3 linked regions of the Sus scrofa genome follow. The protein of the gene in region 1 purifies or fractionates together with the protein of each later gene. This does not show direct contact. Links are inferred from orthologs where the notes say so. Each region holds a gene or a part of one and is shown on either strand. Other genes may lie near its edges. The genes, in order: BCAP31, CYB5A and VDAC1.

What was found.
Region 2: the proteins of BCAP31 (region 1) and CYB5A purify together in Homo sapiens (co-immunoprecipitation; 4 studies listed by BioGRID and IntAct, with this or other methods). This does not show direct contact. The link is inferred for Sus scrofa from reciprocal best matches to the Homo sapiens genes BCAP31 and CYB5A.
Region 3: the proteins of BCAP31 (region 1) and VDAC1 purify together in Homo sapiens (affinity purification with western blotting; 3 studies listed by BioGRID, with this or other methods). This does not show direct contact. The link is inferred for Sus scrofa from reciprocal best matches to the Homo sapiens genes BCAP31 and VDAC1.

The regions. Positions count from the first base shown.
Region 1 is NC_010461.5:124,454,707-124,463,178, forward strand, and holds the end of BCAP31 (B-cell receptor-associated protein 31), read right to left. Parts: intron 5,895-8,472; exon of another isoform or gene 5,771-5,894; intron 5,520-5,770; coding exon 5,384-5,519; intron 4,556-5,383; coding exon 4,432-4,555; exon of another isoform or gene 3,773-4,431; coding exon 3,450-3,772; 3' UTR 2,637-3,449; coding exon of another isoform or gene 2,598-2,636; 3' UTR 2,293-2,597; downstream 1-2,292. UniProt on the Homo sapiens protein: Functions as a chaperone protein. Is one of the most abundant endoplasmic reticulum (ER) proteins.
Region 2 is NC_010443.5:149,732,268-149,742,694, forward strand, and holds the start of CYB5A (cytochrome b5), read left to right. Parts: upstream 1-5,416; 5' UTR 5,417-5,492; coding exon 5,493-5,621; intron 5,622-10,427.
Region 3 is NC_010444.4:136,313,889-136,324,284, reverse strand, and holds the start of VDAC1 (voltage-dependent anion-selective channel protein 1), read left to right. Parts: upstream 1-3,676; coding exon 3,677-3,743; intron 3,744-4,270; coding exon 4,271-4,320; intron 4,321-5,433; coding exon 5,434-5,586; intron 5,587-5,674; coding exon 5,675-5,727; intron 5,728-10,396. UniProt on the Homo sapiens protein: Non-selective voltage-gated ion channel that mediates the transport of anions and cations through the mitochondrion outer membrane and plasma membrane.

The sequences.
Region 1 (8,472 bases):
CCAGGGCCCAGCCTAGTCATCAGCTGAGGCAGGCCTGGGCTGGGGTCAAGGTCGGGAGCCTGCCGCCCACGCTGGATGCCAGCCTGGGCAGAAGGGAGGGTGGCCCTTCAAAGTAAAGGGAGAGCACGCTCTTCTCCCGACCCTCCCAGGCCAGGCTCTCTCTGCAGCAAGGAGCTTTAGCCCTCAACCATGCCGCCGGGGCCAATATGGGTCCACACACTGGCCACCAAAAACCTGGCCGGGGGCAGGTCACTGCAGAGCTTGAGAAGGAGCATCAGCCAAGCAGGCCCAACCTCAACTTGACCTGGGCCTTTAGGGCCTGGGCTGGCACAGTCACCTACCCGGCTGTGGCCCAGTCGCTGCAAGCCCTGCACTGGTGACGCCTGACAACCCTTTCTTGCATCCCAACCCTCGTCCCACCCTTCTCTTAAAGATTTCTCACTCTACAAACCTCTGCTCTCGCCACACCCACAACTCCAAGAACCCCGTGAGTTGGCGGCTCGCCAACCGCCAGCCTGGCTCTCCCGAGACGGGGCGGCCCTCACCCGGCGCCCTGCTGGCTATAGACTCCTCCACCAACAGCCCCTGACTCCCCTGCAGCCTGGCCGGCTGTCACCCCCAGGCCCTCGCCACTGCCCCCTGGGCTCCCACCAGCTCAACAATCTCCATCCCCCCGACCTCAGCCATGCCTGGACGCAGGTCGTCACCTCTTGTCAACTGTCCTCCAAGCCACCTGCCACGAGGCCACCAAAGACTCAGAAAACATCACCCTCACAAAAAAAGGAACTTAAGAGAGATCACGCTGCTCGGTCAGGGCCCTGAGAGCCGTAGGCAGGCACCGTTTCCTTGGGCATCTGTCCCTGCAGGAGGAGCTTAGGACACAGGGCCCTGTAGTCTAACAGGAGAGACGGGCAAGGGAAGGATCAGCGCAGGCCACAGGGTCACTAGAGCCAGGGGCACGACGGCGGAGGCTGTGGGGGACAGTGGGGGCGCGGTCCCACTCAGAGCGGACGCAGCTGGAGGAAAACAGCCCTCAGGATGGGCCAGAGGGGGCCAGCTCCTGCAGGCGGCCTGCCAGTCTAGGCTTTGCACCTTCAAGAGTCTGCTGAGCCTCTGCCGCTGTCTCTTCCGGCCCCCGGCCAGACAGGGTGTTCCAGAAGTGGCCTGGGGCCGCTTTTTCCCCTCCGCCCAGGCCGAGGCCTGACACCGACGGGGTTCAGGGGGACTCGGGGCTGGCCAGAGAAGAACCTGCAGGCAGTCTGGACTTTGGCCCGCAGAGGTTCAGGGAAGGGAGAGCTTGGGGAGGCCGAGGTAGTCGGGGAACACTTCCTGGAAAAGTGGGACTAGCCCTCAGCCTCAGCATAGCAACCGGCAGACACCACCCAGTAGGCAGCCCAGAAAGGGGCGGCACCCCTCGTGAGAACGTGGGCAAAGGACACTGGCGAAGGGAGCCCTCAGCCTGCAGCTGGCAGGAGGGGCAGCACGCACAGCTGACTGTCAGCACCACCGCCATCCCCAGGAACCCCCCAACTCTACACGAACACCTCCAACCTGGTCCCCAGCCCCCGGCCCCGTCCTCAAGGCCCCCCGACCCAGGCCGGTCTAGGGGGCCGCCCAGGGGGAGGCTGTGAGCAGGGAGCGCACCTACACGTTTAAGAGGCTACAGGCGGCGGGGGTGGGGGGGCGGCCTTGACCCCGTCTGGAGGCCCTCTCCACAGCCTAGCTCTGCCCTGGGCCAGTCGTAGGTCACTGCCAAGGGCGAGTCTCCTCTCCTAGCCAGCATTAGTCAGAGGTCATCCTGTAAAACCTTCGGGGGGGGGGCAGGGAGTGACTGGTGGCGCTCTGCCACGTTCTATCTGTCCTAAATGTGATGAACGGGACCCAGAGGAGACAGGCGAGCCTGCCACCCGGAAGCGCCACTGGTTCACCGGGTCTCCCAAGCTCCCCCGGGCCCAGCGGCCAACCCCCAGGGAGACGGAAAGGACAGACCCGCCCCATGGAGCTGTAACGCGGGGCCTGGCAGGGGAGCAGGAGGCAGAGGGGCAGAGAGGCCAAGGGCGAGCCTGTGCCTAGCCTGAGATGAGGGACGCTTCTGGGGTCAGAGCAAATGGGGACAAAACACGGCCCTCCAGAGCCAAGACTGGGGCGGGGGTCCTCCGTCAGAGCTGCCGGCCGCCGCCTCCCGGCCACTGCGGGGAGAGGGAGCACAAGGCGGCCTCCTCGCGGCCCCAGTCTCTCTCTCTCTCTCACACACACACACACACACACACACACAAGCACACACGCACCACGAACACATCACAACAACCTTTATTGCCCCGAGAAACCTCTACTCTTCCTGCTCCATCTGCCTTCCTGCAGGACCAGAGAAAGGGGGCCTTGGAGGCGCGAACAGCAACACGTAACACAAAGGGGCTCAATCCAGCGGAAAGCAAGCCCTGCTCATCCTGGACGGGAACTGGGTCCCCTACAGAATGCTGGGGGCGCGTGGAACTGCAAGCAGCGCGGGGAAACAGCAGCGGAGGGGAGCGAGCCGAAGTGCCGAGGGAGGCTGGGCTCTCGCGAAGCAGCCAGCCACGGGCAGGGAACAGGGGCCCTCACTCCTCCTTCTTGTCCGTGGGGCCATCTACCGCCGCCTGCAAAGGGGACAGAAATTGCAAAGCAGTGGGTTGGCAGGGTGCCCTCCTCCCCTTCGCCTTCCAGCCCCGCCACCCTACAGGGAGGCCCAGCAGGGTGCGCCTTTCCCCAAATGCCAGGTAGCCAGGTGAGCGAGGGACCCCACCCTCAGCGGCACCCCACGGCCTGCCAGGGTAGGAATGGCCCCACTCCAGTGGGAGGGGGCACAGCTGGAAGCCTCCGCTGTCACTCTTTTCTTAGAGCCCCGCCCTCGCAGCAATACCTCCTGGGCCTCCCTCGCCCGCACCCTCGTCCCCAGGGCACCTCGGCATTTGAGTCCCTTCCAAGTCCCAGTTCAGGCTCTTTCCGACTCTGCACACCTTGCACAGGTCCCGCTGGGGAGCCTGCCCTGCGCTGAAGCTGTCAGCTCCTCTCCGCCCTCCATGGTGCCCAAACTTGGGCCACCAGGCACCAAGGCGAGCTGTCAGAACCTAGGGGTGTCTATCTGCTGGGCCCTCACGCCCCATTTCCAGGCCACCCAAGCTTCCGGATGCAGGTAGTCTGAGGGGCCTGGCGGTGTAGGTGGAGGCTGTGACCAGCAGCGCAGCCTGGAGCTCTCTGCCCCACCTCACCCCACAGCCCCCACAGCCCCCACAGCGGGAAGCCAGCAGCCGGGGCTGGCGTTTCCCCTGCGGTGTACGCGGGACGAGAACTGTACCCAAGGAAAGGAGCTTTGCTCAAGGGGGCACTGATGCTGGGCACGAGGCTAGGGCCCAGCTACCAAGGCCACCTTCGTTAGCAGCTGCCCCCTACCAGGCCACAAGCCCTCCTGCTCAAGAAAGCGTTCCGGCTGTTGGACCCAGACTGGCACCAGACTCAGCAGCAAGAGGGAAAAGGGGGACTGGGGGAGAGAGCAAGCAGCCAGCCCGCTGCCGAGGCCTCTCCCAGGGACAGGTCCGCCCCGAGGCAGAGAGAATGGGCAGCCAGCTCTGCGCCCGCTCGGGGGGTGGGGCAGGGTCCCGTTCCAACAGGGCAGGCGGCGGCGGCGTGCTGACCTGCAGCTTTGTGTGCTCCTCCAACAGGCGGTCGTACTCCTTGGTGAGGCCCTCCGACTGCTTCCGCATGGCCAGAGCCTCGTTTTCAGCCTTCTCCAGCTCTGTGGACAATGCGAGCAGTGAAAGGGAGGAACGTTCAAAGATTAGGATTAGGGGAAAAGGAACCTTTGCTGGAGAGAGCAGGTGCAGCCACCCCCAATCTGTCCCCAGCCAGGGTGCCTGGGAGACCACTCTGCTCAAGAAAGCTGCCTTGAGAGCCTCCAAAAGTGGCAGAGGGCTGGCCGACAAGGCTGTGGCAAGCGGGAAAACATGGAGGATCCCCGCCAGCCCCTGTAACGGACATGCCTCTCAGCAGGGGGTGGGATCGCAGGGAAGCTGCCGGCCTGGGACAAACGCTGCGGAAATGCCCAGGTCAGAGGAGGAGGCACCTCTGACTGAGGCTCTCCTTCCCCACCCCGCCAGGCCCCTGGCGACGGGGCACAACGCCACTCCTCGCCGGGCGCTGCATGGGACACTCTGGACGTGGCCTCTGGGGCTCCCCGGTGGGGACCCTGCCTGCACCGAGGAACCACTAAGCCCCACCGGCTGGGGCTGAGCCCGGCTGCACTGGGGCTGGCCGAGCAGGGGCCATCTGCTTGTTTCCACCCCGCTCCTGGCCCCTGCGTGTCTCTCATTGATACTTCGGCATGAGAAGTGCGGCAGCCACTGGCACAGGCTCCAGACTTCTGGGGGCCGGGCGTGACCCGAGGACAGTGCTCACTCTGCTTGCTGACGGCCAGCTCTTCCTTCAGCCTCTTCAGCTCAGCCTTCAGGCTCCTGTTCTCTTCCTCCACCTTCCCTCCTGCGTCGCCGCCATCTAACTTGACTCCGCCCACAGCAGCTTCCTGGGAAGAGCGCCAAGGGCGGGGTTACTGGGGGGGGAGGCGGAGGGGGGAGGAAGGGGAGGGGAGGGGGGGCTCCAGCTCTGTCTTCGGCCTTGGCCTCGCAGGGATTCCTCAAGCGGCCCTGGGCACTTGCCCCTTCGGAAATGTCAGCGCAGAACTGGGCCACTGCTTATTTCCAGCCACCAGGCAAAGCCCAGGGCCAGCAGGGCCACCTGCTGCAGCTCGGAGGCCACACGCCCTGCCTCCTTTCTCAGCAGCTCTTCGGAGTTTACCAGTCCATCCAGTGACTCAATCCGCTGTCATCTGGGGATTTCTGCCAGTCGCCCCCAATTGACCATTGCCCTCCCTGCCCCTCTCCAAGCTTCACAGCTCCCTCCGGCCAAAGGGCCCTGAACTCGCCCCTACCCGTCCAAGTCTATCCTGCCTACGAATCCAAGGCCATCCGTCTCCTTCCCAGCTTGGCTCACACCTCACCTCCTGCGACAAGCCTTCTAGGACTGCCCCGCCTCGTCCCCGGCTGATAGCAATCCTTCTCTGGTGTTCTTCTGTGCTAACTTGCCCAATGTTCACAGCCCAGGGCGCAGCTCGTTAAGGAGTCATTAGTTTTACGAGGGAAGAGTCTGGCCTGGATGCAGTGGGTAGAGGCGAGAGCAGCAAGGGTGCCCCCTTTCTGAGTCCCTCAGACGCCTCCGCCCATTCACCCAGCTCCTCCATTTTTCCAACAACAGCGGTATCACACGTTTCCCAGCCTGAGAGGCTAACAGTAGCCACTGTGGCCCATAAAGAATGTCGCATGGGGGACGGGCAGTTAGGGAAGGCCAAACCCACCTTCTTCAGCTGGTCGTTCTCTTCCATGTACTTCTTGGCTGCTTCACTAGCGCTCTCTGCCTGCTTTTTAAAGGCTTCATTGGAGGCCAGCAGCGTGGCCTGCTGGGAGATGAGAGTTACCAGGCGTCTAAGCAGGCTGGAAATGTTTACAAAAAGAAGGGAGAAATGAGCAAAAGGAAGAGGGAGAAAAAGGCTAGCGTGAACTTCTCTGGTTGCTCCCACCCCACACCTGCCTCTGGCCTAGACCTGTCCCTTGGGGTTGCCAGGGCAGCCAAGCAAAATGCTACGGGCATCTGGATCTGGCAACACGATGGGAAAGATGGCGCCGGGAGCTGTCCTCTGCCACCAGAATGATTAACAGCGCCCCCCCAAAGGCTGTTCACAGACCTGGGGCTCTCCTCCAGCCCCAAAGGCACAGGAGGCAGGAACATGACAGGACGCTCGGGACCAGGTCTACCGACAGCCTAAAGGTCTAGAACCCAGTGCTTTCCAGGGCAGGGCCCAGACGTGCTAAAGAAGCCACGATACCCCTTCCCTGAGTGCAAGGCCGGCCTCGCCCTGGCAAAGAAGAGCAGCCAGTGTTGGGTGTGCTTCCAACAGGCCAGCTGAATCCTCGAGACGACGTGAGGCGGGCGCCACTGCTGCCCCATCTCATCTTCAGAGGCTCGGGAGGCGGAAGCCAGTGGTCAAGAGCCAGAAGCAAATGTAACCTGTCTGTCTGACCCCAAGGCCTGAGCTGGCAACCGCGACGTGCTCGCAATTTCCAGGGAGCCGCTCCCCGGGCTGACAAGAAAGATGGAAGTGACTCTCCTCTCCTCACCCCTTCCCAGAGCACACCTGTGAGATAGCATCGCCGCAGTGAGGTGGCCAGGGCGAGGGGGACGAAAACACAAAGAACCAAGTCCCAGACTAGCCTCGAGAAGCAAGCAGGCAGCAGCTGGGCACGCGCTGCTCCATTTCCCGACAGACAGACACCTTGCCTCGAGGCCTCAACTCGCAGGAGAAGAGGACAGGAGAAGCGGGCAGGCACACCTCCCCACATGCCTGGGACAGGCCGGGCCAGCCACAGCTCCAGGAGGCGTGGGACAGGCAGAGGCCCTGGGGACGAGAGGAAGACCCAGCGTGTCCAGGGTGTTCCCACAAGGGCTTGCTCAGAGGAGACAGAGCAGCTGAGGCCGCCTGCTCCCAGCCATGCCCTCTGGCCTTCGCAGGGCTCTCGTGGACGCCTGCTGTTCCGAGGGGCCGGGGGGCCTAGGGAGGGACAGGAGAGCAAAAGGGGCGCCCCGCTCTCCCTGGCTGGGCCCTGGCAGAGCCCCTGGCGGGAAGGAGCCCAAAGCACCCATCACACTTCCTGGTTAAGGGAGAGGCTCCAGGGGCCCCTTGCAGGAAGGGAAGGGCCAGGCTACTGAGTCCTGGCAGGAGAGGAGAGTTTCCAGTGACATGTGCTCTCTAAAATTAGAGACCAGGACCTCGTGGCCCAGGGCTCAGGTTTCCCTGTCTCAGCCCCAACTGCCCACCAGCCTGCCCCCCGCCGGGTGGAGCCTCAGCGGTGGAGGGAGCTCCTGAGTGGCCCAGGAGCCAGAGAGAAGCAACAGGCCTGAGTCACAGCAGCAGGGTGGCAGTCAACAGAGGAGCCCAGGAAAAAAGGCAAGTCTGACTAAAGCCCAGCCTCGCAGGCACAGAGCTCTCAGGCAGCCCTGAGCGGATCCCGGCGAAGTGGAGCAGGCGGCTCCTCCCAGCTGGCGACTGGGGTGGGGGGAGGGCACGTGTGCCACCTGGCGGGCCCAGCAAGCAAGGAGCAGGCGAGCCCAAAGGTGCCGCTTCCCCTTCAACACCCCCCCCCTGCCCCCAACGAGGCTGGGGAGGCGGCTGACGCGGGCCGGACTCCAGCAGCACTATGAGTGACCACAGCTGTCGCCCCAGTTACCCAGGGAGGCCGGGCCCAGGGTGGTAGCGGCAATGATGACCACGGCAGAGGAGAAGGGGCCCCGCTCTCCTCGGTGCCCTCTCAGGCCAGCCCCAGTTGCAGAGAATCCAAGTTGCCAACCAGAGCCCCGGCAAACAAAGGGCAGCAAGTACAAGAAGGGTTCAGGGGGCCTCCCAAAATCTCAGCCTGCTCAGCACCCCCCAACCCCACCCTTTAGGGTCTAGGCCGCCCTCAGCACAGGGTGGGAGCCTCCAGGGGAGGTGCCTGGCCTCGCCACCTGTCTTTCTCTCCATCCCTGTCCTCTTCCTTCCTGTTAGACCTGTTCCTCCAACCCAGCCCCAGATTCTGGGTAATTCCTCCCTCCCGCCAGCCCCAGCCCCTCCTCCCTTCCTCCCTCCACACCACCCCAGGCCCTGCCCTGCCCTGCCCATGCCACCAGCAGGACCATGGTTGCCCTGACTGCCCAATCCAAGGAGCACCCTAGAGTCCTCGGGCACTCACTCTGTAGCACCTGGCGCAGCTGACAGTTCAGCCCCTGGGAATTCTCCTCTCCCTGCCTCGAGCAACCGTCGCTGCCTGTCAATCTCAACCCCAATAGGATTTATCTCAGCCAGACCCTGACACCCAGCTGCCTGCTAACCGGTGGCTCCTGGGAGGCCCCGAGACGCGTCCAACTCAGCTCGTCTGAGACAGGCCAACCGGCCCTGCACCGCGCTGCCCGCGGTTGAGGGCATCGCTGGTCGAGCCAAGCTCTCCTGTCTGCACGCCAACTGGGGCCCCAGTCATCCCTGCCGCCCCGTGGCTTCTTTCCTGGGTGACTTTCATCGCTTGCTAATAGACCTCCTCCCCTGGACCGTACAGCTTTGTGATCCGTGCCCCCGAGGAAGGGCAGAGTGACCTTCCTCCAAGACAACCTGACCACGAAGCCCCTCTGCTTCGATCCCTCCGCCACCTGCCCACAGCTCTCTGAGAGCTGGCTCCTGTCCCCTCACTGCCCACACGGTCCCCTGCTCTAGTAACACCAAAACACTGGCTGCTCTTGGAACACGTCAGCCCTTGCCTGCCTGGTCTCCGTGTCACTGCATGTCAGCCCGGCGGGCTGACATGGCTTCTCCCTCCTCTTTGAGAACCCGTGCTGATGACTCAAGACCCGACTCAGTCA
Region 2 (10,427 bases), on another chromosome or scaffold:
GGGAAGGGGACAGTGAGCATGTGCCTCCTCAACAGTTGACTTCTAAGCTGAGTCAAAAAAGGTCCTGAGTGCGTGCCCAGGGTAAAGGAAGTAGGAGAAAGGAGGGCAAGAGGTAAACTTAAGGTAAGAGGAAAGAAAGGGTGTTTCCGTTGTGGCTCAGTGGTTTAAGAATCCAACTAGTATCCATGAGGGCATTATGCCTATTCCATCTCTGGCCTCACTCAGTGGATCAAAGGATCGGGTTACCAAAAGTTGCGGTGTAGGTCACAAAAGAGGCTAGGATTTGGTGTTGCCCTGGCTGTGGAGAAAGTTGGCAGCTACGGCCCTAAAAAGAGAGGAAAAAAAAGAGGAAAGACAGGGCTTAAGCAAGAGTATGGAGTAGAAGAAAGAATGCCTTTTTGGAGATCTAAAAATAGCTCACTTGCTAGGCTATAAAGATTGAAGGGAAAATGACAAAGGATAAAGCTAGAGAGGCAGATTGTGAATGATCTTGGATGTTCTGGTAAGGAATTCGAACTTTAGTTATTGGGAGACATTGGAAGGTCTTAGGCAAGTAGTAATGTGATCAGATTTTAATTTGGGATCCATTCCTCATGGAAGATGAGTCTGAGGAATTCAAAACTAGAGGCAAGAAGAACCTGTTAGGAAGTTATTGTAAGCAGATAGGCGAGTAATCATGAAAGGCACATCTGGGGGCAATGGTAGTAGGGATAATGAGGCTCCCTGGATGATATCCAGGCTTCTGACTTGGGTGACCTGATGATGATAACACCATCAGCTGTGTGTCATAGAACTGTATGTAATCTTAAACCCTTTATAAAGTTAAATAGGATATCTGGAATTGTCCTGCAGTACAGCAGGTTAAGGCATTGTCACTGTATCGGCATGGGCCACTGCTGTGGTGTAGGATCGATCCCTGGCTCACGAACTTCCACATGCTAAGGCTACAGCAAACAGAGGTTAAATAGGATATCTGGAATTTTCCTTATTTATACCATTTTACTCTTGCTCCATTGTGCTGGAGACAAAGTTTTTTGGTTTTGTTTTGTTTTTTGTTTTTAGGGCCACACCTGTGGCCTATGGAAGTTCCGAGGCTAGGGGTCGAATTCAAGTTGTTGCTGTCAACCTATGCCACAGCCACGGCAACACCAGATCAGGGCCGTGTCTGCAACCTACACCACAGCTGACGGCAACGCTGGATTCTTAACTCACTGAGCGGGGCCAGGGACCGAACCCTTATCCTCATGGATACTAGTTGGATTCATTTCCACTGCACCACAATGGAAACTCCCCAAAAAGATTTTTAAAAAGAAAATTAGTATTGCAACCATGTCCTACAATCAAACATTTAACCTTTTTATTTATCTGCTGCTATTTAAAGATGGACATACAAGGAAAATGTGCCCAAGAATGTATTTATAGTAAGATTACATATAATTAACTTGTCTTTGTCTTAAGTTATTGAGGAAAGTTGTTCTGCCTCAGCAATGAACTTAAGCACTAGCTTTGTTATCAGATTATATCCATTGCTCTCTGCTCCTCATTCTGTCTCTGATATTCAGTTGATTAGAGAGGATCAACTGACATTCTGGTGTTATAAATATACATGGGTAAAAACAACTTCATAAGTGCTTTGTTTTATTTATTTATTTTTTGTCTTTTTGTCTTTTTTTTCTACGGCCCCACCTGACACATATGGAGGTTCCCAGGCTAGGGGTGGAATTGGAGCTGTAACTGCTGGCCTACACCAGAGCCACAGCAATGTGGGATCCAAGCCATGTCTGCGACCTACACCACAGCTCACGACAATGCCGGATCTGAAACCCACTAAGCAAGGCCAGGGATCGAACCCTGCAACCTCATAGTTCCTAGTCGGATTCGCCAACCACCAAGCCACGACGGGAACTCTATAAGTATTTTAAAATGAATGAAAAATTTAAAAATTCAGGAAATTTTGGAAATTATTGCTAATAGATGGGGAATTGTTTGGAAATCAAGTAAATATATGCACTAGAGATACAAATTTTTTTGGAAAAGAAAATTTAACGTATGCTAACATATTTAAAAGATAAATATAATGCAAATTATCCATGTAGATAATTTGGAGTCCTTTTTTGTAGAGTGCCCATTTGTTGAGGGAACTCACTCTCTATGGTTATGACTATATAATGGCAAATTAATTATTTGTGAGTGGGAAGGAAAGAGCTGCTCAAGTGTGTCTTGTGCATGAGTGGCAGAAGGAATTAGAAAAGGAATTAAAAATGTAATAATATGTGTTTATTTTTGCCTTATAGTAGGAGACTGAGTGCTTTCTATAGTATATTTTACTTGAGGAACTTTAGGAGTAGAGTTGGAGGAACTTTAGGAGTAGAGTTGGTTTTCTAAATGTTTATAAAAATTTCTTTGCTGGAGGGGAGGTCAGGAAGGGTTTGTAAATATTTGTATTCCTTTAATTTCTCAGGTTTGTTTCTAAATTTGTCTAAATTTACCTCACCTGGAGCACCTGCCACATAGGATGTTTCCTTATACACTCTGCTTTAGAATAAGGAAGTCTTATTTGGTAATAGCACTTGCTAAAATCTATCGATTGTTTTCTATGTGCCAAACCCTGTACTAAGCATTTATAAGCAGTGGCTTAGAAGAGTTAACTGATTAGGTCAATGTCATGCATAATTTACCAAACCAGGGATAGGATCCAGGTCACTGGCACCAAAGTTTTATTGTTAACCACTTCCTGAGTTATTTGGAACTGGAACTGAAATCTGAAATAGTCTTGACCTTGGATTATAGAGGTAGTCATGCACTGAAGAGATTCATTGTTCTGTCAGAGTCATGGGGAGATTCAGCGGTCTGGAGAACTGTTAGGGAAACAGTATAGGTAATGTAGTTTACTATTTTTAAAGCATTTAAGAAAGTTATAACACTAAGTGCATGTATTTGAAAAAAGGAAAAGTCTTAATAAACTCACACCTTAAGAAAGTAGGAAAAAAAAAAGGAACCGGAAGCAAGTAGAAGGAAAAATTCAGTAAGGAGCAGAAGTCAATGACATTAGGAAAGAAAATAAAAACAATAAAAAGCTAGCTCTTTTTTTTCCGGCTACACCCGAGGCACATGGAGGGTCCCAGGCTAGGGGTCAAATTGGAGATGTAGATGCTGGCCTATGTACACCACAGCCACAGCAACTGGATCCATTCCACGTTTGCGACCTATGCCACAGCTCAGGGCAACGCCAGATCCTTCACCCACTAATTGAGGCCAGCGATTGAACCTGCGTCCTCATGAATGCTAGTCAGATTTGTTTCTGCTGAGCCAGGATGGGAACTGTAAGCTCTTTGGAAAGATAGATAAAACTGACAAACCTCTAGCAAGGCTGACAATAGGGCAATAAAAAGAGAGGTCATATTACTACTACCGGGAATTAAACAGAAGATATCACTACAGACCTTGCAGACATCAAAAGCTAATAAGGGACTACTATGAACAATCCTACACACATAGATTTGATAATTTAGATGAACTGGATCAGTTCCTTGAAAACTACCAACTACCACAACTCACCCAGTTTGAAATAGATTTCAATAGTCTTACAACTACTATGGGAACTAAATCCATAGTTTAAAACTTCCTGAAAAGGAAAAGATAGGGAAAGAGAGGGATAAACTGGGAGTTTGGGATTAGCAGATACAAACTACCATATATATAGATATTTAACCAGAAGGTCCTACTCTATAGCACAGGGAACTATATTCAATATCTTATAATAAGCCATAGTGGAAAAGAATATGAAAAAGAATGTGTGCATATACATATATAACTGAATTACTGTGCTGTACACCCAAAAGCTAACACAACATGGTAAATTAAGTATACTTCAATTTTTTTAAAAAAGAGTATTAAAAATTATACATCATAGAGAAGTGTGATTTATTTCAGAGATGCAAGGCTGGTATAATAATGAAAGTCAATGTATTCCACACTACTCAGCCATAAAAAAGAATGAAATAATGCCATTTGCAGCAACATGGATGCAATTAGAGGTTATACTAAGTAAGTCAGAAAGACAAATACCATATGATATCACTTACATGTGGAATCTAAAATATGGCACAAATGAACCTCTCTACCAAACAGAAACAGACTCACTGACATAGAGGCCACACTTGTGGTTGCCAACGGGGAGAGGGAGGGAGTGGGATGGACTGGGAGTTTGGGGTTAGTACATTCAAATTACTACATTTAGAATGGATAAGCAGTGAGGTCCTGTGTAGCATAGGAAACTATATCCAATCTCTTGGGATAGACCATAATGGAAGATAACATAAGAAAAGGAAAGTATATATATATGTATGATTGGGTCACTTTGATGTACACCAGAAATTAGCACAACATTGTAAATCAACCACACTTCTAAAAAAGATCAACCCCCCCCAAAAAAAAACAAGAAAGAAAATCAGTGTATTCCATCATACAAAAAAAGCTAAGGACTATTGGGAATGTCAGCAAAAATGTCTTTTCTACGGCCTTGCATTCCTACAAAGGAGGAGGTAAGCAATGGGACAGGAAAAAAGTATCAGCAGCTAATGTGAAAGAACTGTGCTTAAAATCTTCCTATGGGTGCCAGCTGGGGAGGTACTGTTTTATACTCTTCCAAAAACTGTCAATCATTTAGGATTTATCTTAAACAATATACTGTTGAGAAAAGACAAAGAAGACACTAGTACAAGTATTCGCATAGTCTGGGTCAACAGCGAGATAACTTATGTCCTAAGTTCTTTAGGACGATTTTGCTTTTATAGAACAATTCCCCCGGGTTTGTTTTTCCTGTGAGAATGGGGGCAGTTCTGGGGTGAGGGGAATTGGTCAAGCAATTGGGCAGTAAGTACACTCGTTCTACGGAGGCTAAATGAGAGCACTGGTTGTTTACCACATCTCCTCTCACCGTAACAGATCACCTTGACACTCAGTTCACCCTGACACTAGCAACGGAACGAATTTGTTACAAATTAATGTCCAGGTCTGGCTGATCTGACCTGATTGGGAAATCGCGGCGATTTTGTTGTGTGGTCGTTGCCCTGCCAAGGTGGACACTGCGCCTGCCACAATGAACCCTCCTTCGCCAGCCACTCCACCCCACGGTCCCGGGCTCCCGCATCATCCCCTTCTGCGCAGACTCGAAGGAAGCCCCGCCTCCGCTTACTCCCACAACCGTGAACATGGAGGGCACCTTCGGCAGCCAATTAAAACTCGCATACTGGGCGGGGCGCTTTGGGGCTGGCAGAGAACGTCGGTCGAGCTCGCCCTTTGAGTGACACGAGTTCTGGCCAATCATCGGAGGTCGTGCTTCGGCCGTCCCCCTCTCCTCTGTCTGCCGCCCGGCCCAGTTGGGGAGCTGGGACCAGGGGAATGTCCCGGCCCGAGTTCGCCAGGACTCCCACTCTGTTCCGCTCATCTCTGCCGCTGTCAGCAGGGCCTGAGGTTCGCCGCGTTACGAAATGGCCGAACAGTCCGACAAAGCCGTGAAGTATTACACCCTGGAAGAGATCCAGAAGCACAACAACAGCAAGAGCACCTGGCTAATCCTGCACCACAAAGTGTACGATTTGACCAAATTTTTGGAGGAGGTGAGTTTGTGAGGCAGGATGCTGGCCTAAGTTTGGGGGGTTGCCTGCCAAGACCTGTCGTTTGCAGCATGTCGGGATAGACCTGCACGCCTCTATATCCGCACCTGAGTGTGCGCACCCGGGAGTGTTTGCTGAGTCTGCACACCTGGGAGCGGACCCTGAGTTTGTACACTTGGGTCTGCGTGCCTCCGTGTGCATCCCCGGAAGCTGCACACCTGTGTGTGCACACCTGAGGGCGACCGAGGGTGCGTAAGTTAGTTCTGCGGCTGGATCAGCGGTTTTAGCAGTCTGCAGCCCTCCCTTGTAGGGCAGGGACTGCCTCCGGAGACCCTGCGCGGGCGTGTAAGAAAGAACCATTTTGAACTTAGAGGGAAACTGAATCGCATCTGGAGCTGCCTTCCTAAGAGCTCAACCACGGAAGGATTTTAAAGATCTTTTATCCTTGAGTTTACACAAACCAGGGCTTCATCTAGGACAGGGGTCCTCCCACTTATTATTTCTGGAGTGGATTCCTAATTGGACCCAGTTGGAGATCACCCACCCCGAGAGCTGCTCTCCCCCTGGCACCTACAAGCCAGCCCCACCATCCATGCCCACCATCTAGAAGGCGCCCAGTGATTGTAAAGGTATCTAATGATAACTTCAGTGAGGTACAGTATTGGACTCCTTCGAGTCAGTGTGGCGGGCTGTGTGTGGCTTTGATGAAGAGAGGAAGAGGGACAGAGAAGTAAAAATTGCCAGTGGGACTTGATCCTTAAGCAACTTTGGAAATTGTAAAAATAACTTTGCTTAACTTAGAGGAGAACATTCCTTTGATAAGATTCTTTGCATTAGATTATAATTTTTGCAGTAAATATTGAGTCCCCCCTCCCCCAACTCTGGCTGTGAAGGAGTTTGAGTCACAAATCTTAAATCTTAGTATAACACTCCTTCATTCCCCCAGACAATGAATAGGAATGTTTAGTGGAATTCTTCACATAGTTTGTGAGAAAAATGTAGATAGAGGCCTGGTCTGAGCTGGGTCACAATTTCTATCAAAGGACATTTGTTTTGTAGAGAATGTTTTAAAAAACTTTTAAAGGTTGAAGTTTTTGTTTATTGGTAAGATATTTTACTGTTGTCTTTAGGTGATGTGCCAGAAGGTAAAACAGTGTCCCAATACAGTTAAGAGTGGTTTATAGTAGGGAGTCAGATCTGATCTGGCCCGCCCCTTCTGCTGAGCTATGGAGCTTATTTGCTATTAGAATTTCTTCAGCTAATAATCCTGCATCATATCATCAGATCTAACTGATATCAAATGTCTGTTTAACAGCTGTTCTTCCCAGAGTTCCCGTCGTGGCTCAGTTGTTAACGAATCTGATTAGGAACCATGAGGTTTCGGGTTCGATTCCCAGCCTTGCTTAGTGGGTTAAGCATCCGGCGTTGCCGTGAACTGCGGTCTAGGTCGCAGACACGGCTTGGATCCCATGTTGCTGTGGCTCTTGCGTAGCCGGTGGCTACAGCTCCGATTCGACCCCTAGCCTGGGAACCTCCATATACCACAGGAGCAGCCCAAGAAAATGGCAAAAAGACAAAAAAAAAAAAAAAAAAAAGCTGTTCTTCTCCCTTCCTATGGTATGTGTAATTTTGGAATTTTAAGATTCAGAGTGTGCTTTCTTTATTTGTGTCTATTAAAAAGAATAGCATATGGGAGTTCCTGTCGTGGTGCAGCAGAAAGGAATCCAACTAGTGTCCATGAAGTTGCAGGTTCTATCCCTGGCCTCTCTCAGTGGGTCGGGGATCCAGTGTTTTGACGTGAGCTGTGGTGTAGGTCACAGATGCGGCTCGGATCCTGAGTTGCTGTAGTTGTGGAGTAGGCTGGAAGCTTTAGCTCTGATCTAACCGCTAGCCTGGGAACTTCCATATGCTGCAGGTGGGGCCCTAAAAAGCAAAAAAAAAAAAAAAAAAAGAAAAGAAAAGAAAAAAATAGCACTTATGAAAAAATAATAGGGTATTTTATGTTACAAAGCATTTGCCATTTTTTCTTTCTTTTTTTGTGGGTTCCGTCTTGTTCAATGTGTTGTGCAGAGGGCCTCCATGGTCTCTCCCAACCAGTTGTCAGTATCACTGCTCCCCCTTCTGTTTTTGTGATAACCGAAAATGTCTCCAACTATTGTCACATGTTCCCTTGGGGACAAAAATGTCACTCCTAGTCAAGAACCATTGCCCGAGGATGTATCTTGCATAATTTTTTATGGGTACGTTTCTCAAAAGGAGATAGGAAGGGAAGATTATTACACTTCACTATAAACCAATTACTTTTACATTTCATTCTTATGAAGCAGTAAAGGAATTGCACAGTTTTCTAAGCCAAACTGCAAACCAGCTGTTCAGAGGGTGAATTAGTTGACAGCAGATTCCTTTATTTCTCACTCAGTTTTCAAAACTCTCTCTCTACAAGTAGTTTAGGAAGAACACCTCTCAAGTAAAATGTGATGAATCGGTTTATCACTAATATATGATAACTAATACTTACAGTGAGATAACTTAAAAACTACTATTTATAGTGAGGTAAATGAAAACAAGTTTACAGCAGTTCCTGTATGCTTAAGTTTCCTCAATTGCTACTTGGTAAAATGCTCCCCAGAGGAGCCCACCTGTGAGTTGAATTTGGGACACCACTGTTTTCTGGTACTCACACCCTTCCTTCAATTAGTTTATCCGGTATCTGCTGACTTCTTATAGTGGAGACAAGAATTTGAGAGGAAGAGATATCATTTCTACCCTCAGAAACTTCCATTTGAGTAATAACACAGAAAACAATGCTGTGGACGTATGGGGGTTATAACACAGAGAGCTATGTTGTGTGGGCCAGAGCCTAGTTCAGTGGTGGGGATGGGACTGGGGTGGCTGTGTGAGACATCAGCTCTGGGCCTAAAGTCATTGATGACAGACCTGCTCCCAGAGCTGGCCTGGATTAAGAAGAAAACTGGCTGACACTGTGAAATGGGACCAATCAGAAGAATAAAGACATGCAGGAGGACACTTGCCAACCTGTTCTAGCTGGTCATCAGCAGTGCCAGCCTTCCCAGAACATCACATTCTGGGGGTCGTGTGCAGTTTTTACTATCTGTTTTCACTTTCTGTGATCATCTCTGATTAGTGCAGTGTTCTAGTCTTTGGCTTCCTGCCCTCAGCCCAGCTATCCAAGGATTCCCTGCACCTTAAACACACATCTCATTCAGAGACCTACTTGCAGGACACTCAGTGTTTCACTTCCTAGATCCCTCCTGTTCCATTACTTTATTAAGCCAGTGCTATTTACCTCATCCTTTCTTCTGAAACAGAAGGGAGCCTCAAAGATCTGTCTCTCTCCTCTTGCCTTGCCCCCTTTTCTTCCATCAATTTAAAAGCTCCAGAAATTCATGAAGCCTTTACCTGGTAACTAAATAATATCCTACTTTCCCTAATTTACCCAAATATGAAAGAAGTTCCTTGTTTGTTTTTTGGTTTTTGTCTTCCTACCTCCTAAGTGGACTTTCAGTCATTATGGGCTAGATCTCCTTATATATCATAGAAACAAAATAATGCAGGTTAAACATACAGCATATGGTCTGCACAGTAAATGCAAACTCCTCTACCAGTACAGGTCTGGGTTAGGCATGGCTTTCTTTCCATAGCATCGTATGTAGCTGAGTGCTAATATGAAATTCTAGGTAAAGGTATAAATCTGGCAGGTGATGTTGAAACAAAGAGAGTTTTATACAAATTATACCCTTCTGGCTCAAGAACACAGGTGAAGTTTCTAAGTTGTGCAATGAGCTCCACCTCTGGAAATAATGGCCATATTAAGCTGTTTTGTTTTCCAGAGGAGGGTAGACACCTGAGAGGGAGGACTGGCTCCTTTATTGCTGGTGATCTAAGTAGCAGCAGGTGTTTTGTTACTGTCTGATATTGATCTCCAAGGTTGTTAGCCTTGTTGCCTAAGTATTTTGAAATAGGGTTTTTTTTTAGTTTCGTGGGTTTTTTTTTTTTTTTTTTCCAATTCTGGTTTTTGCATTTACATTTGTGAAGTAGAGTCTTGTCATTCCTGATTATGTTATTAGCAAGGCTAATGATTGTAGAGCTTTGCATGAAAATGTAGGCATTTAGGGCCAGGAGAAAAATTGATTTACTTTTCCCTTTCTGTGATTTTGGGCAGTAAACATTTATTTTTTCAAGTTTTTACAAGTACTGTGGAATAAGAAAAGAAAGTGTCATATAATTAATGGCAGTAATATTAACTTGCTTTCAGTTCAAGTCATTAGATGTTTAATTTGTGAAATAGACATCTTCCTAAAAAAATACCATAAAGCACAATGCCTTTGTGTCAAACTGCCTCTCTCCTTTATGTGACCAAAATGGAAACTGATTTATATAGAACATTTTCTGGTGACCCTGCGATTCTGATGCCCTGTATCTGCATCTTAGATGTTCTTTAACAGCATTCTGCCTTCTAAAGCTGTTGGCTCCTGACTCACTTTTGCTTTCAGAATCTTAGGCAGTGTTCTTTATAGCAGGTTTTGTTGTTTCCCTTGAACATGGCTGCCTACTTTGCAGAGACCAGTGATTCTAAGCCTGTGGAGCATCGATGCCCTGGAGATTCAGGAAAAGAGTTTGGGTACTTGAAATCGGTGTCCTTAGTTCTGAAAAACAGAGGACCCTGTATCTTTACCCTTGGTAGGACTGCCATATTTAGTGCTAAAATCCTACATTTTTGATAATATCCTGAATCTTATACTGAAAAACTGTAATTGCAAATGTCTTTGATGATTGTAAGATGGAAAA
Region 3 (10,396 bases), on another chromosome or scaffold:
CAAGGGTTCAGCCTCCCAGGCAGTGCAGGCAGGCTATTACGTAGGATACTGAATTCTCTCCCCTCTAGTCCTGACCTGAAAAAGCAGGGATGGCAATCACTATTGTGACGATAAAATTGTTTTTGAAGGGGGGTCCTGAGAACTGTGTTGGGTGCTGTTTGCACTTGTAAGAAAGCTGAGCTTCTCAGACAGGCAGGCTGTTTCAGTCCTGTCGCATCAGTGCCGCCGGAGACAGGAGGTGGGGAAAGAGGAAGTCCCCACGGAAAGCAGAAGGGGAAGCTGTAGCCACAGGGCCTTTGGGGGCCTTTGGTGGAGGGGAGTCAGCCCCTTGCCCCTGTTGGTCCAGGAGTGGCATTGGTTCCTGTGCATCTTCCTTGCCAGGTGCTGTGCTGGGGCTGCAAGGGGAGCCTGGCTTTATGTGAGCTCCCTCTGCTGTCCCACCTCTCCTGTCTTTGGGTGGTAATCTCCTTAGTGGCCCCTTTAGGGCGATGCTTGCTGTGGCTGGAGTGTTTTTTGACAGGTGGCTTTGCTTTCCAGTTTGGGGGATTAGGGATAAGAGAGGGCGTTTGGGGAGCATTAAATGATGAGTGTTCTGCTTTTTTCCTGAGGGATGGACCACTCCAGATGTGACAGCTGCCTGTGCCAGCTGGGGTGGGTCCTAGAGCCAGGGGAGGGTACTCGGGAAGGCCCTGACCCCTGAGGTACAGGAGGTCTTAGCTGACCCGGAAATAGTGCCATCAGGCCTCACCTGGCTGGGCTGAGTTTGTGACCCATTTGGGTAGGGGGCACAAACCAATACCTTTGAGTGCTCACGGGGGTGGAGAATGTTCTGGGCCCTTTGCTGAGATGTTCTGCACATTTCCTCGGGCTCTCTGACCTCACTTTTCGATCCAGGGTTGTTTCATTGCTTCTCCTGGGGGTGGTGGTGGTGGGGCAGGCGCATCTCTGGCTGGGCCACATGCCTAAGGCAGAGGGTGTCTCTGGGGGACCTGGCGGATGGTCTCCTGCTGTGTCCCTGGGGGCGGTGGAAGGGGAACAAGTTGGGAGAAGGGGGTCCGCAGACTTGAAAGAGCCAGTGAGAGCAGCCTAAAGCGGGTCTCTGCCCCTGTTCTCTGTGCCCTGATGCTAATAGGGACTGATGTGCCCATGGTTCCAGCCTGATCATGTGTAAAAATAACAACAGCGACAAAACTAGGGGAGCGTCAACAGCTTCCTGGGCTGTTCCTCTCCGCTCTGACACGAGAGGGAGCCGAGACACAATTGGCAAAACCTCTGAAAAAAAGTAAAAGAGGTCTTGGACCGTATTTTTGTAATTTAAAATTATTGAAGTTTACTTTTTATTTTATTTCTTTTCTCTCTTTTTTTTTTTTTTTTTTTGTCTTTTTGTCTTTCTAGGGCCGCACCTGCGGCATGTGGAGGTTCCCAGGTTAGGGGTTGAATCAGAGCTGTAGCCGCCGGCCTACACCAGAGCCACAGCAACTGGGGATCTGAGCGGCATCTGCAACCTACACCACAGCTCACGGCAACGCCGGATCCTTCACCCACTGAGCAAGGCCAGGGGTCAAACCTGCAACCTCATGATTCCTAGTCAGATTCATTAACCACTGCGCCACGACGAGAACTGCAATTTTATTTATTTTTTTAACATGATACTCATTGGTTCTGTGGGTTCCCTGCCGTGTCTGAAGTGAAGGCTTTGCTCAGGAAGGCACCTTCCAGTTGTGCTGTTGTTACCCTGGGATCCCTTGGACCGTTTTTCGGGGGGGGTCCCCCTCAACCAGGAACATGCCCTGTGGGTGTTTGTGTTAGTTGGTAAGGATGTGACTTTAGATGGGGTGTACGCAGATTCAGTTTGGTAACTTAGATACATTGTGTTAAAAAGGAGCAGACCAGCCCCGGGTTAAGTGAATTTCTGGCTGATTGAGACCCACGATTTTGAGGATGGAGAAGATACAGAAGTTGGAGCTTTCTCATGGTCTCTTCTTCTGGATGGAACACAGTGTGAGCTGTCTGGAGTAGGGTTTTCATTCTGTACATAATGTGTCATCACAGAGCCTCCCAGCAGCCCAGTGTGGTCCTCAGATAGGGCAAGGACTATTTGAAGTTCCTTGCCTTTCTTGGAGTTCCCGTCGTGGCTCAGTGGTTAATGAATCCGACTAGGAACCATGAGGTTGCGGGTTCGATCCCTGGCCTTGCTCGGCGGGTTAAGGATCTGGCGTGGCTGTGGCTGTGGCTGGTGGCTACAGCTTGGATTAGACCCCTTGCCTGGGAACCTCTATATGCCGCGGGTGCAGCCCTAGAAAAGACAAAACAAAAAAACGAAAAAATAGTGAAGTTCTTGTCTTTCTTGAACACCGAGGTGTTTAATAAATGCTTGTTGACTGGCTTAATGATATACAATAATCCCAAGTAGTACTTTGATAATTGGTTTTAAAAATGAAGTCATCATGGAATTCAATAAATTTTTGTTTGAATCAAATTTGAGGGGGATGTGGTTGCATTTCCTTCCCTATGAAGAGTTGCCTACTTAGGTTTTATTGTTGGTTTTTTTCTTTTTTTGCTTTTTAAGGCCACACCCACGGCATATGGAAGTGCCCAGGCTAGGGGTCCAATTGGAGCTGCAGCTGCTGGCCTACGTCACAGCCACAGCAATGTGGGATCCGAGCAGTATCTGCGACCCACACCACGGCTCACGGCAACGCCAGATCCTTAACCCACTGAGCAAGGCCAGGGATCGAACCCATGTCCTCATGGATCCTGGTCAGGTTTGTTACTGCTAAGCTGGGACAGGAACTCCAGTTTTTTTTTTTGTTTGTTTGTTTTCTCAGTGCAGAATATGATATCCCTGTTGATTCCTGTAAAATGCAAGTTTTGGGGTAATTTGGGTCCATTCTGACTCGCAGTAGGGACTCCATAAATATTTGTTGAATGAATGAAATTCGAATCTTAGGGAAAATCAGTTGTTCTGAAAAGCTCTGATTTCTATTTGTTGTATTAATGTCCTGGCAGTCGATATTTTGTAAGAAGATACGTTATATTGGCAAGAGTCCTGCCGTCGAGTGAAGTAGCTGCCTTCTGGGAATGCATCTTTGACAGTGAATTCATTTAGCTGATGTTGCCTGACTCCTCCCGTCTTCTGGGCCTGTGCTCAGTCCCAGGGATGCCTAGGAGAAGAGGTCCAAAGTCAGGCTGGGCGTTCCCGCTGTGGCTCAGCGGTTCACGAAACTGACTACCATCCAGGAGGATGCAGGTTCGATCCCTGGCCTCACTCAGTGGGTTAAGGATCCGGCGTTGCCGTGAGCTGTGGTGTAGGTCACAGATGTGGCTCAGATCTGGCATTGCTGTGGCTCTGGTGTAGGCTGGGGGCTACAGCTCCGATTAGACCCCTAGCCTGGGAACCTCCATATGCTGCCGGTGTGCCCCTAAAAAGCAAACAAACAAACAAAAAAACTAGAAAAAAAAAAACCAAAAACCCAAACCCCAAAAGTCAGGCTGGTTTGCTCTCAATAAAACTTATTGGGCATTTTAAGCTCTGGTCACAAAAAGAAGCAGCAGCCAGCACAGGCCTCTCCGCCTGCCACTGGGGGAACTCAGTGCTGATGATTTTTATTGGTGGAAACTCATAGCCGAAATTACCAATGTGTTTATTTTGGTGGTTTTTTTCTGGCAGCAGAAGATGGCTGTGCCTCCTACGTATGCCGATCTTGGCAAGTCTGCCAGGGATGTCTTCACCAAGGGCTATGGTGAGTGTCGCACGGAGTGGCCTTCCAGCTCGGAGGCGGGGGTGGCATGTTTGGGATTTTGCCCATCAGAGTTTGAGAGACTGGGGTCAGCTCGCTCTCAGACCTTTCATGTCAGGGAAAAAAAGATAAGCCTTCTACGGCTGGCCGAGCAGTTGTGGTTGTGCACCCAGTGCAGGTGGGCTTGCACATTGCTGCCAACAAGCGGGCGTTCTTGTTTCCTCTCGCAGGCAGGGAGCAGGTCTGTGGCTGCCGCTGCAGTGGATTGCAGCTTCTAAATTTAGCTTGTCCTTAGACATGTGCCCACGCGGTCATGCACCTTCTTCTCAGACTCCGCTGGGCGTGCAGGTGGGGCCTGGGCCTGTTCTGTCGGCCACGGTTCCATGGCAACCAGCCCCCCCCCAACACACGCAGCAGTGGTGACTGGTGCCCTCACACTCAGAGCGTGTTAAAGCAGACCGAGGGAGGCGGGGATGCTGTTTTCGAGTGAGTTATTTAACCTGCTAATAGCTACCATCTCCTCTCTTTAGGATTTGGCCTAATAAAACTTGATTTGAAAACAAAATCTGAGAATGGACTGGTAAGTTGTCTGGCCCACGCGGAGCATGGGTATTTATGCAGATCAGTATATAAAAAATAACTTCCTTCGGGGTGACCAACAAAGGGACTCTTCTGATTGTGGCAGCTTGTAGCTGTCCTTTGCATTGCATCCTTTGTAGGATTTGTGGTCCAGGGGAACCATGTGACCAGGTCCCCACTTCTTCAGCTGGATTCTAGTAGGAATATGGGGCAGGCTTCAGTTTTATTTTTCCTTATGCGTCTTATTTCAGAATCAGCCTCTGTTCCATACCATGTGATTACTTAAAATCTTTTTTTGCTTTTTTTTAGGGCCACACCCACGGCATATGGAAGTTCCCAGGCTAGGGGTCCAATTGGAGTTGTAGCTGCTGGCCTACACCACAGCCACAGCAACGCCAGATCCGAGCGGCATCTGCAACCTGCACCACAGCTCACGGCAACGCCGGATCCTTAACCCACTGAGCCAGGCCAGGGATCAAACCTGCAACCTTATGGTTCCTAGTCGGATTCATTACTGCTGAGCCGCAAAGGGAATGCCTAAAACAAAAACCTTAGTCTCTTTTAGATTGTACATGTGGTAATTGTTCGAAGAAGGATACTTCGGGTTGAATTCCTGCCACGTCAGCTTTAGCTCAAAAGCTTTTTCTCTCTAGGCTGGAGGCGGGATGGAAGGATTGCCTTCCTGTCCAGACTGAAGCGTTAACAGGGGAGGAAGGAAGCCGTGTCCTGATAAAGAATTCTCTGTAGTGGAGTTCCCTTGTGGCGCAGTAGGTTAAGGATGTGGCATTGTCACTGCAGCAGCTCCGGGCCACTGCTGTGGCACCGGTTCAGTCCCTGGCCTGGGAACTTTCGCATGCCTCGGGCACGGCCAGTAAAAGAATTCCCTGTAAGATTCCTTTCATTAGCCGGCTCCATCTGTACTTGAAATATCTCATTGAATTATCGAGTGAGGCTTTTCCTGCACGCATGCAAGGTGTCACCTCTTGCTTAAAGGAGAACAGAGGCCACGTAGGGGTGGCGTGGACTTGCTGCGGGGCTCCCAACATTTAGGGGGGGCGTGATGCAGAATGAAGCGTTGGCATGCAGGCCGTGACCCTCTTTCTTTTTTTTAAAGGAATTTACAAGCTCAGGTTCAGCCAACACGGAGACCACCAAAGTGACGGGCAGTCTGGAAACCAAGTACAGATGGACCGAATATGGTCTGACGTTTACAGAGAAGTGGAACACCGACAACACCCTGGGCACGGAGATTACCGTGGAAGATCAGGTAACTCGCCAAAGACGCGGTGTGACTGAGGGGCGGCTGCCGGCCCGTCTCGTGACTAACCCTGCTGGCGAATTTCTTCTCTGTTCAGCTTGCCCGTGGACTGAAGCTGACCTTTGATTCATCCTTCTCACCGAACACTGGGTAAGAATCTCATCCACCGTCTCCCTAAGGACAGCTAGCCGTGTCTTTTTTTATTTAATTTAATTTCTTTATTTTTCTTTGCCATTTCTAGGGCCACACCCGTGGCATATAGAGGTTCCCAGGCTAGGGGTCGAATCGGAGCTGTAGCCACTGGCCTGCGCCAGGGCCACAGCCACGTGGGATCCGAGCCGTGTCTGCGACCTAGACCACAGCTCATGGCATCGCCGGATCCTTAAGCCACTGAGTTCACCTCATGGTTCCTAGTCGGATTTGTTAACCACTGCGCCACGATGGGAATTCCTAGCTGTGTTTTATAGTGAGATTCTGTGCTGTGATTGTTCTGCTGGCCTCAGCTTGGAGGCTGCAGGATTTCTGGTCCAGGAATGCTGCATTCCCTGGGACTGAGGCTGCTGGTAATGTGAGTAGCCAAGGCCAGGGGGTGGCGCTGGGAAGCAGGGGCTAATGGGTCCCTGTGGCCAGCCCCCTTTCTTAGGCTTGATGGCCCTTTCCCCACCTTCTTACTTAGGGACACTGAGAGCATGTGGTCTTAACTACAAGGTGGCTCCAGAGGCTGCCTTTTTTTGCTCCAGGCCCTGGGGCCACACACAGATCAGACTTGTTGGTTATCAGGAGGAAAGGCGGGGAGTTCCCGTTGTGGCTCAGTGGCTAACGAATCTGACTAACATCCATGAGGATGCAGGTTCGATCCTTGGCCTTGCTCAGTGGGTGAAGAATCCAGTGTTGCCATGAGCAACAGTGTAGGTTGCAGACATGGCTCAGATCCCACATTGCTGGGGCTGCGGTGTAGGCCGGCAGCTGTAGCTCCGATTCGACCCCTAGCCTGGGAACCTCCCATAGGCCGTGGGTGCAGCCCTAAAAAGCCCAAAAAAAAAAAAAAAAAAAAAAGGGAGCAAGGGGCCTGCTGCTGGTCTGCCTCTGTTCCTGGTACTTTTCAAAGTGGCTAGAGGGAGTTGTTCTCTTCTAGAACACACTCTTGTTTTTTTTCCACGCAGAGCCGTAGGTCTCCTCATCCTGGAAAGGTTGTTTTGCACGCGGATAACAGGCTCAGGGCATGTATGGAATTTCATTTCTCAGTTTTTTTGTTTTTAAAAATCGTGGTAAAATGTACAGAAAGTTTACCTTCTCGGCTGTCTTTGAATGGCACTTTGAATTTAATTTTTTGCCATCCCGTATTTTCCTCTCTCCTCCTTTTTCCCTCTTCCGACACCTGTTTATTAGAGGGAGGCCCTTCCGAGCTCAGACCCTTGGTGCAGGCTGGCCACGGGGACTGGGTACACAAGGTTCCTGCCTCTGGAGGTTATGCTTTCTTTATTTTACTTTATTTTCAAATTTTTATTTATTTATTTTTCAACTCGCATCACTTGTATTGGTCATATATCCAGAATTCATTATATAAATCTTTCAAAATAACTAGATAGTACACGAATAGTTTACTCTTCAGCTCTGATTGCACAAAGACTGACTTGACACAGGAAAAAAAATATGGACCAAGTCACGAATTAGTGTGTCATCCTTGCGCAGGGGCCACGCTCATCTTCTCTGCATCGTTCTAAGTTTCGTATATGAGCTGCCGAAGCGAGCACTGGCCGTTATGCTCTCTTTCAAAGTTGGTCGTGGATGGTCTGAAGACCATTGGCCAGGAGCTGAATTTACTCTTGTTCTCACCTCTGCTGTAGTTTCTCTCGCGGGACTGTCGCCTTCTTGCTTGTCCACCTCCCTCTAGGTCCCCTCCCACAACAGCACAGGTTATCCAGAGAGACACTCAAGAACTATAATACAATTAGCAGAACCAGGAAATGTATGTCGATAGTATATCATTAACTAATCTGTTGCCCTACTGATGTCTTATTTCTGGTCCGTGATCCGGTTCAGGATACTACATTACACTTAATTTTCTTTTTTTCTTTTTTGTCTTTTTTTTTTTTTTTTGTCTTTTTGCTATTTCTTTGGGCTGCTCCTGCAGCATATGGAGGTTCCCAGGCTAGGGGTCAAATTGGAGCTGTAGCCACCAGCCTACTCCAGAGCCACAGCAACGTCCGATCTGAGCCATGTCTGCGACCTACACCACAGCTCACGGCAACGCTGGATCGTTAACCCACTGAGCAAGGCCAGGGATTGAACCCGCAACCTCATGGTTCCTAGTCGGATTCGTTAACCACTGAGCCATGATGGGAACTCCGGGACCGTGACACTTTTAAAGAAGATTGCCCCTTATTTTGTAGCATACTTCCGTTTGGATTTTTCTGATGTTTCCTCCTGGTTATGCATTTTTTTTTTTTTTTTTTTTTTGTCTTGTGTATTTTTGTCTGTTGTTGTTGTTGCTGTTGTTGCTATTTCTTGGGCCGCTCCCGCGGCATATGGAGGTTCCCAGGCTAGGGGTTGAATCAGAGCTGTAGCCACCAGCCTACGCCAGAGCCACAGCAACGCGGGATCCGAGCCGAGTCTGCGACCTACACCACAGCTCACGGCAACGCCGGATCGTTAACCCACTGAGCAAAGGCAGGGACCGAACCCGCAACCTCATGGTTCCTAGTCAGATTCGTTAACCACTGCGCCACGACGGGAACTCCTCATTTTTTTTTGCTGATGTTGTGGTTTCTTAGGGCCGCACCCACAGCATATGGAGGTTCCCAGGTTCAACTTCGACCTGTAGCCGCTGGCCTGCGCCACAGCCACAGCAACACCAGATCCAAGTCACATCTGCAGCCTACACCACAGCTCACGGTAATGCCGGATCCTCAACCCACTGAGCGAGGCCAGGGATGGAACCTGCGTCCTCATGGATACTCGTCAGGTGTGTTTCCGCTGAGCCCTGCCGGGAACTCCCTGGTTATGCATTTTTGACAACCACAGATGTGATATTGTGTTGTGTCCATCCTGGTGTGTGATAGCAGGAGGTCTATGTCAAGGTGCCTCATTACTGGTGACATTACTTTAATCACTGATTAAAGTGGCATTTGCCAAGTTTCTCTAAAAGCTACTATTTTTCTCTTTGTAAGTAACAAGTATCTTGGGAGATGATTCGAGACTGTGCAAATATTCTATTTTTTTATACTTTGACTCACAACTATTAGCTTCCACTGGTGAGTTATGCCTGCAGCAGTTACGTTTGACAAATAATGATTTTCTGTTCCCACCATTCCTTCTACATTTATTAAATCTGAATTTCCTGGAAGGAAGCGCTCTTTCTTCTCCACCTTTTATTCATTTAATCATCTATTTGTTTATATCCGTATGGATTCATGGACAGTTGTTTTAGTCTGTGGGTTATATTCTGTTAATCTCATTTATTTTGTTACCTGTATTGTCCTCGATGTGGCCATTGGGAGGGGCTTCAAGTTGATATCCTGTATCCCTTTTTTTTTGGCGAGGGGGCTGTTTTAGGGCCTCACCTGCAGCATGTGGAGGTTCCCAGGCTAGGGGTTGAAACGGAGCTGCAGCTGCCAGCCTACACTGCAGCCACAGCAACGCTGGATCTGAGCTGTGTCTGCAACCTACACTATAGCTCATGGCAACGCCGGATCCTTAACCCACCGAGCAGGGCCAGGGATCAAACCCACAGTCTCTTGCTTACTAGTCGGATTCATTTCCCCTGCACCACGATGGGAACTCCGATATGCTGTGTAGTTTTGACAAGCCCCTGTCATTTTTTGGACTGCTTCCTCAGAACGGGTGCCAGGTCATCTTCTCCTTGCCCTCCGTAGCCCCGCTCTCAGCCGTTTCTCCAGGGAGCCTTGGTTCCTTTAATTGAAGACGGATGATTAGAAACCAAGATTGTGGGCATACAGTGTAGTCCCTGCTCCTGGAGGCGAAGTTTTGATAACTTGATGGAGATTGGAAATGAGAGCTGGCTTTGCGCAGTGGCTGAGGGGTCCAGCCGGGAGCGTATCCTGGCTTCCATAGGGAGCTAAGCATCCACATCTGGTTGTGGCCGCAGACGGCCCTCATCCGTGGACCAGCCCCACACCGAGTACCTGTCACGGATGAAGCCAGCTTGTGAACCACAGAGCGGAGTCATGCCTCTCTCAGGCGCTTATCAAGTTACCACCACTCCTTTTTTTTTTTTTTTGTCTTTTTTTTCTAGGGCCGCTCCCGTGGCATATGGAGGTTCCCAGGCTAGGGGTCTAATCAGAGCCGTAGCTGCCGACCTGAGCCAGAGCCACAGCAACGTGGGATCCGAGCCACGTCTGCGACCTATACCATCGCTCACGGCCATGCCAGATCCTTAACCCACTGAGCGAGGCCGCGGGATTGAACCCGCAACCTCATGGTTCCTAGTAAGTTACCACCACTGTTGAAATAGCTTTAAACAAATTCCAGTAATATCTGAAAGAGGAAAAGCTCGAAAGACGTGAAACGCTGCCTTAGAGCGCAGTCCTGGAGAGAAACCTGAGTCACTGCCCTAGCAGTGCCCATTCCCTGGCTCTCCTGGCCAGGATCCAGTGAGGCCATGGGTGGAGGTGCTTGTAACTGTCCGGTGTGGCTGGGGCACACCCCTGGTCAGAGGCCCTGTTCCAGGTGTCACACTGTGTGTCAGCAGCAGCCTTTTACCCAGTGGTTATGAGAAAACTGATTCTTACATAATCTTGGTCTCCCCCACTTTCTAAATGTCAGCCTCTGAGCAGCTGTCTTTTCATCAATCACCCCA